2 linked regions of the Caenorhabditis elegans genome follow. The protein of the gene in region 2 purifies or fractionates together with the protein of the main gene of each other region. This does not show direct contact. Each region holds a gene or a part of one and is shown on either strand. Other genes may lie near its edges.

Evidence for each region.
Region 1: the proteins of nhr-268 (region 2) and dbd-18 fractionate together in Caenorhabditis elegans (co-fractionation; one large-scale study listed by BioGRID). This does not show direct contact.

What each region holds. Positions count from the first base shown.
Region 1 is NC_003284.9:295,316-299,805, forward strand, and holds dbd-18 (DB domain-containing protein), read left to right. Parts: upstream 1-1,918; 5' UTR 1,919-1,932; coding exon 1,933-2,017; intron 2,018-2,527; coding exon 2,528-2,676; intron 2,677-2,860; coding exon 2,861-3,013; intron 3,014-3,125; coding exon 3,126-3,254; intron 3,255-3,727; coding exon 3,728-3,862; 3' UTR 3,863-3,972; downstream 3,973-4,490.
Region 2 is NC_003283.11:15,688,472-15,692,142, forward strand, and holds nhr-268 (Nuclear hormone receptor family member nhr-268), read left to right. Parts: upstream 1-1,780; 5' UTR 1,781-1,862; coding exon 1,863-1,910; intron 1,911-1,955; coding exon 1,956-2,303; intron 2,304-2,415; coding exon 2,416-2,779; intron 2,780-2,861; coding exon 2,862-3,124; 3' UTR 3,125-3,135; downstream 3,136-3,671. Other genes in the region: Nuclear hormone receptor family member nhr-197, read left to right, coding at 1-63, 575-938, 1,026-1,288. UniProt on the Caenorhabditis elegans protein: Orphan nuclear receptor.

The DNA of each region.
Region 1 (4,490 bases), on a different chromosome or scaffold from region 2:
ACCATATCAATTCCCCCAAAAATCCAAAAATTTTTTTTGCAAAAAAGTGCAGTCATATGCTTGTTGAAATTGGAATTCAAGACAAAAACCCCTGTAGCGCGGCTGGGATGGAATATCTAGGTTCCAGAAATGTACCCCTGATATTAAAAAAAATTAGCAATTTTTTACCATATCAATTCCCCAAAAAATCCAAATTTTTTTTTTGCAAAAAAGTGCAGTCATATGCCTGTTGAAATTGGAATTCAAAAATTAGGTCCTCGGTGACTGCGACAAAAATGTTTGTTTGTTTTTTCTGGGCGTGTTTTTTTTCCTTTTTTTTTTGGGATGAAAAAATTCGCAAAAAATTTTCCTCCCGTACAATCGACAATTCATTCAAACCAATTAGTTTTGAACTCTCCTGTGAATGCTACAAAAAACTATATTTATTCTTCATTTGGCTTCTCACTAGTTCTCGCGATTCTCTTTGATCGAGAAATGTAATTTGTTGCTTGGAACAGAAAAGTGGAAAAGGGTAATACATGGCCTCTTTTCCTGTGTCTTTTTCCGCCGATTTCGTGAACATTAATTTACCCGCAACCGTTTGATGCGCCGTTTGCCCTAATTTTCCGTTTCTTGACTGTTACTCAATGAACAGATTGAATTCTCTCTCTCTCTCTCTTTCTTTTTTCACTTCTTAATTATTGTTTGCTATCCAACACCTACTTTTGTTTTTGTATTTGATGTTCTTTATTCTTGTTACTTTAAATTTGAAAAAAAAACGAATTTTTAAAAAATAGGGTTTGTCAATTTGTACAAGGAAACGGAATTTTTTCGTTCAAAGTTTCAAAACAAGACGTATGCCCATCAGATTATTTTGTTTAAACGAGCTTACGCAAAACACTTTTAGCTGTAAAGCTCCTACTTCAAAAATTTTAATTTCAACTTGAAAAAAGTTCAGCACATTTTCCCCAACTACCGAAATCTGAAAAATTGCGCCAAAAGTCGTTTCTTATACATTTGAAGTTTTCAGAACGTTTTAAATTGGCAAACATTCGGGAACTGTATTGATGGTGCTTATTATCCTCAAAGTTGGACTAGTGCCAGCGGGGAAATTGTTTTAAAACATGCCTATGGTACCCCAATGACCAAATATCATAGTAAAAAAAATTTTTTTTTAATTTTTGCTAAATTTTTATATGATTTTTTGAAAGTTGAAAAAATCTCGAATTGCATCAAATTCCCACTTGAATTGCCGCCAATAGTTCGATGTTCAATGGAGTGCGCTTGCCATATTTTTATCAATTTTTCTCATTTATGTCTGAATTTTAATTTTTTTTTTCGTGTAATTTTAGTGAAAATTTAGTGAAAAATTCAAGATAAATGTAAATTCTTTATCAAAAAGAGGACAGTGAAGCGTAAACCTGTGCAATTGATTGTTTCAGGCTCGACGTCGTTGGAATACGTTCTTTCTTTGTTTTTCAATTGTTTTCAATGCACAATATACATTTGTGTTGAATTTTTCACTAAATTTCTACTTAGATTACACGAAAAACATCAAAAATCTGTCAAAAATGAGAAAAATTTATTTAAAAAAATGTATATTTCAAGCACACTCCATCGAACATTGAACTATTGGCGGTAATTCAAATGGGAATTTGATGTAATTCGGGTTTTTTTCAACTTTCAAAAAATCATATAAAATTTAGACTAATTTTTTAAATTTTTTTTACTATGATATTTGGTCATTGTGTTACCATAGGCATGCCTTAAAGTAATTTTCCCACTGGCGCTACTCCACCTTTAAGCCCAGATTCTCTGAAAAATTAGAACATTTTTTGACTAAATCATTTTGAATGGTCAAAAGATGTAAATTTCAAACATTTTTTATAACCTATTTTCAAGATTATTTTTCAATTGACACAACTTGTAAATCTTGCAGCTCTTGGTATCAGAATGCGTCTTCTATCGTCTTCATTGCTTGTCTTGTTTCTTACTCAGTTTGTATCGTCCGAAAAAAAATGTCCGGCTGTGAAAAAAGGTAACCTGAACGAAGTAAACGTTTAGGTATAAAATTGATTGCGCAAAAATCTCTTAAAATCAATTGTTGTAAAAACAAAATCATGAAAATTGACTAGTGAGTTTTTATCGCTTTTTGACTTGAAATAAAACATTTTCAAAAATCGTTTGAAACGTTTTATTAGTCATTTTAGCAACATTGAAATAGGTTTTGAAAATGTACCAAATGTCGTGCTTAACCTTTACAATAACTCAAAATTAAGGCCCGTTCACTCAAGTTCCCATAATATATCTGGAATGGAAAAAAATACAACATTTCTTAGTGAGTCTACAACAGGGCTAGCAAATTGGACGAATTGGGTATAAAACGCGTCCCGTTGTCCGGTTTTAACCCGATTCGCCATATTCTACACATATATATATATATATATATATATATATATATATATATATATATATATATATATATATATATATATATATCAGCTTTGCTCTATGTTAATACATGCGTACAAAAAACATTGGTTTTCAGGGGCTTGCTGCACAGCACCTATCACCCCAGGATGTCGACTTCCCCGACAATGTTATAAATACATAATGTCAAACTGTCCAGACAGAAAAATTGCAGTTTTTTCCAGAAAAGTTGGAAATGATCGCCGCTCTGCTCCGAGAAAACCGTTGGTCAGTTTTATTTTGTACTGATATAATTGTTTGAGCCCAAGCTAATTATCTTAAGCTCGAGCATTTGGGCTCGAGCTCTAGCATCTCGGCAGCAGCATTTGGGCTCCTAATATTTCAGCTCTGAGGTTAAAAAAATACATGATTTCCATTAGTACTGTTCCAAAACAATTGTTTGATAATTAAGGGCAAATGTGGAACATCGGAGGTAAACTATCAACCATGCACTTCCAAGGGAATTGCGAACAAACTCTTTTTGTCGTGCTGTCAATTGTATGTTCCAGAAGAATGCCATCACATGTGTGTGTACGAAACTGATCAGTCGGTTACTAGAAATATGGTAAGTGTCCAAAGTAAATTCAAAATAGTAAGTTGCCTAACGTTATAAATGACAATAAAACAATTGTGTTGTGAGTACCTCTTTTATATTTCCAAAAACAAACTTTTTGCAGCTGACCAACATGCGGAAAGATAGCCAGTGCCGAATTAAACACCTGTCGTCAATTTTGTACTGTGCCAGCCAGAACAGAGATAATAGGAAATGCTGCTTGGATTTAGATCTCAATGCCCCTCAACTTCAGGTATATAAATAACTTGGAAGATTTTTTTGGAAAGAGTTTTCTATGGTGTGTAATTAATTGGTTATATCTCAAAAACCGGTAAAATATACATGTAAGGTTGTATATGCGCTTCTCAAAACACTGTTTTGCCTCACTGGTTCAGGTTATTAAGAAAACTGCTCCTATGAAAACTTCTCAGTCTCAAGTTACAGATGTTCCAAAAAGAATTGACAAAAATGAGCTCGCAAGGTGTCGGGCGTTGTATCTCTTGACTTTAATGTTTTGAAACGTTGAAACATGTGTGTTAAGATGTAGATCACATATTGGGCAACAGTTAATCAGTTCAACTTTTCTTTCAAAATTTCCTAACTTGAGGTATACTCATTTGAAAACTATGGCAAATTAGCGCGGCGCGGAACCCAGATAGTGTTGGCTGCGTGGGGCGCCGTATCATGGAAACCCGTTTATGTCAACTAATGATAATAAAAACTTAGGTTGGATCTCGTTGCTTGCGAATGTGTGATCCATCGGGTACTTCAATCGATAGAATAACCAAGGAAGATGTGACTTGCCTGTATAATTGGAATGTTATTATGTACTGTCATCATGCCGGAATACGCGAAATGTAACTCAACCACTTCATTTATTTATCTTTTTTAAGTTCACCCTTCAGCATACCAAAGGTTACATTTTTGCAGCAGTGCACTTATAATGTTGATAATAATAAAATATTAATTGGAATATGATGTTTGTTATCTTATCAGGCAATAGTCGACATTGATAAAAATTGGAAGATTGCTTTCAAATTGATTTTTTTTTCCAATTATTTTACTTTTTGAAACATTTCATTTTACAATTCTATTGTTCCTTGAGAAAAAAACGTCATAAGTTTTGATTTTTTGCAATGCGTTCAGTTATTTTCTGAACGAAACGTATTTCATTTGAAAGGACTTCTTCTCAATAGTCCACTACAAATAATTTTTATGCATATTCAGGTCAAATGTTTATTTTATGAAGTTTCATAGACATGGAGACATTTTTATATCTTTCAAGACAGCCTTTCAAAAAATTAGTGAAATTGTTTAATCAAGTCCATTAAAAATGTTAAATAAGTAAAATGTTTGTCGAATTTTTTGAATGTTTTTTTTGAGTTACTGGAGAATGAATCAAATGATTTAAAGTGGTCGTTTTTTACAGTAAAAAAGTATTATATTTTGAATGACTAATGTATTTATTTGATAATATAATTTCTTTCAG
Region 2 (3,671 bases):
TTGGAGGACCCGAGCTTGGCGGATATTTTAAAGGATAGAGGTATTATGAAACTTGTGAAGAGGGTGAGTTTTTTTTTTTAAAGTATACTTTAATGTCAATTACTTTTACAGTGAATTTTACAATAAAATAAAAAAAAACTATTTTGGAAAAAAACTAAAATTATGAATTCCTAGTTTCTTAGTTTTTTCGTTTTCTGGGTGGGAATATTTTTTTTTGATACTTGATACTTCACAATTTACCAAAAATCGACACTTCTGTTTCTTGCGGAACAATTTCTGAAAAATAGAAAAAATATTTTTGAAAAAAGGTATCAAAGAAAAATTTTATAAGTTTTAGCCCAAAAGAAACTTACTGAAACTCTTAAATTGGTTTGAAAACCGAAAATGTATCTTTTATTTTTAAAACATTTTTCATAAGTATGTGCGAATTTGACAAATAATGAATAAATTTGGGCGGGAATGTGAAAATGGTTAAGCCAAATTGATTTTTGTTGCGAATATTGAAAACACAGAACAATTTAGAAAAAAATAACAATTTTTCACAACTATACCTTCAAATAAAATATACTTCTAGACACCCAAGACACTCAACGACGTCGACCAATGGTCAATTATGATGGCATATTCTCGAATATCATATTTTCTAGATTTCAACTTTATTCGAGATCTAGATTCCAGTGACAAAAATACACTTTTCAAGTATAATATCTCGCGAGCTGGGTGCCTAGCACTTGCCAAGTGCGCATTCAATGAAAACAAACCGAAGTTAACATTTCCAAACGATGTTGATGCTTTTCCATCTGAAATGTATAATCTTTGTGGAAGTTCTACAGCTGTTCTGAATCAAGTGTCGGGACAAGTGATCGCCAAGTTTGTTGAATTGAAAATCAAAGATGAGGAGTACTTACTTCTTATATTGGTCATGTTTTGCAATCCATGTAAGTTTCCGGTTTTGAAATGTTCGAATTTTTTTTTGAAAAATACCATTTAACAAGTTTTCACATTCCTTAATCTTACTTTTACAGCAATATCGAATGACTTCTCTGACAAAACGAAACTCGCTTTATCTTCCCACCAACAAGCTTTTTGCTCTGCTTTGTTCCGTTATTGCCAGATAAATTATTCAAAATCTGCACCAACTCGGTTCACGGAACTTTTATCACTTTTTGGAATTGTCAACAAATCGGTGGACAATATGAACAATTTGAGCATGATGCTACAATTTTGTGAGCCGAAATTTCAATTTAAACGGATTATGCAAGATCTTTTTTCTAATTCATTATTATAATGTTTTATTCCATAATAATATAAAATTGCTTACTTTTTTGTTAAAAAAACTGTCAGGCCTTATATTCGTCCATTGTTTTAACATATATTGGCTAATAAAAAGAGCAGGCATCTGAGACCACAAAGTCAAACCAAGTAAGCGTCTACTTGACGCCTGATTAATTCTAAGTTTTGGCTAAATCCAGCTTTTGAACAAAGTACGCACCTATTTGTGATTTACAACTGAACATCTAGCATTAATATTTGAAAGTGATTCTCTTATTTACACTTTTTCTTATTTTTGTCATCTCCAGTGTTAAGAAAAGCTTTATTTTCTCCAACTCTATAATTCTTCTATTATATAGTTATCTCACTCTACACATAAGTTTTGCTGAAAAATAATCTAGATTTAAACTCTCTGAACATGATGTGTCAATCTTGCATCCCATAACTTATCTTTAAACCATTTCGTTTTTGCATGCGTTAATCAAAACTTGTGAATCTTTTTTTCCAGAAATACCTGTTGCATTTTTTGAAATATTGATTAACTTACCCCATATAAAAATTATTAAGTTCCGTAACTGGAGTTTGGCTTTATGAATTGCTTGGTATGCTCAGCACGTGCATTCAATAGAAACTATGGAGTAAGTAAACATTATGCTAAAAAACCTCAAAACTTCTCATTCCAGGTAATGTCGTGTTTTGCCTGCAAAATGTTCTTCCGTAGAACTGTTTTCAAAAATATGTTATTCAATTGCAAATACTTTAAAAATTGCACTATCCACTACAAAACTCACCCGAAGTGCCGTGCTTGTCGATTCCAAAAATGCTTGAACATTGGCATGAAAGCAGCTTCCAAGAATGATAGAATAGTTAGTATTGGCAACTACGAAGATTACAATTTTGACAAATTATTGAATGATTTGATTGTGAAAAATGATAAAAACTATTCAAATTTTATTGATTTCTATTCGTTGGAGGATCCGAGCTTGAAGGATATTATAGAGGATAGAAGTATTATGAAACTTGTGAGAAGGGTTAGTTGCTCATTTTTCGATAAGTTTTATTTCAGATTAGCAGAAGAAATAGAGCGGATCTAACTAGAAAAGAATCCCAATGCCTAAGCTTGAGTAACATATATATTTTCAGACACCCGAGACACTCAACGACGTCGACCAATGGTCGAATATGCTGGCATACTCTCGAATATCTTATTTTCTAGATTTCAACTTTATTCGAGAACTAGATTCCAGCGACAAGAATACACTGTTCAAGTATAATGTCTCGCGAGCAGGGTGCTTAGCACTTGCCATGTGTGCATACAGTGAAAACAAACCAAAGTTAACATTTCCAAACGATGTTGATATTTTTCCATCTGAAATGTATAATCTTTGTGGAAGTTCTACAGCTGTTCTGAATCAAGTGTCGGGGCAAGTCATCGCCAAGTTTATCGAATTGGAAATCAGACAAGAAGAGTATCTGCTGCTATTATTGGTCATGTTTTGCAATGCATGTAAGTTTCAGTTTTAGAAATTGTTTTTTTTTTGAAAATATCATTTAACTAGTTTTCACATTTCATAATCTTTAATTTACAGCAATAACCAATAACTTCTCCCACAAGACAAAACTCATTCTATCATCCCACCAACAGGTTTACTGCTCTGCCTTGTTCCGTTATTGCCAGCTGAAATATTCAAAATCTGCACCAACTCGGTTCACAGAGCTTCTATCAGTTTTTGGAATAGTTAACAAATCTGTGAATAACATGAGCTTTTTGAGCATGATGGTGCAATGTTATAATCCAAAATTTAATTTTAAACGGCTAATGCAAGATATTTTCTCTCATACATTGTCATAATGAATTTTTTTTGTCTGTTTTTCAAACGTTTACTGGTTTTTATTAATAAAAAAAATTAAGAATTGTTTGTGTTTCTAAAATTAGGTATAAGAGATGGTGCGAATCTTAAGGTTTTCCAATTCTAACTTATGACGAGAAAATTTTTTTGGATCAAACTATATATCAACTTTATGAATAGAGAACATTTTTTGAACTTTCTGATCCAAAATACATACGTAATTCATTTATTTTTAAGATATTTCATACTCGTGCCATATACTTTTCTGTCTGGGTGATGACTGAATGTGATCTCGCTTGTGCTTCAAATTCTTCATTTTGAAAAAAAAAAAACTTTTCACGTTTACTCACTTTTTTTAGTTTTTTTTCCAGTTTTGAAAAAAAACTACAATTTGAGTTTGACATTATGCATTGCTTGGTATGCTCTGGACGTGCAACCAATAGAAACTATGGCGTAAGTCTCGAAAACTGCTTGATGACCTCGAAAACTGCTTGATGACATGTAGATCAAACCACAAAAATTTCGAATTTTAGGCGATGTCTTGTTTTG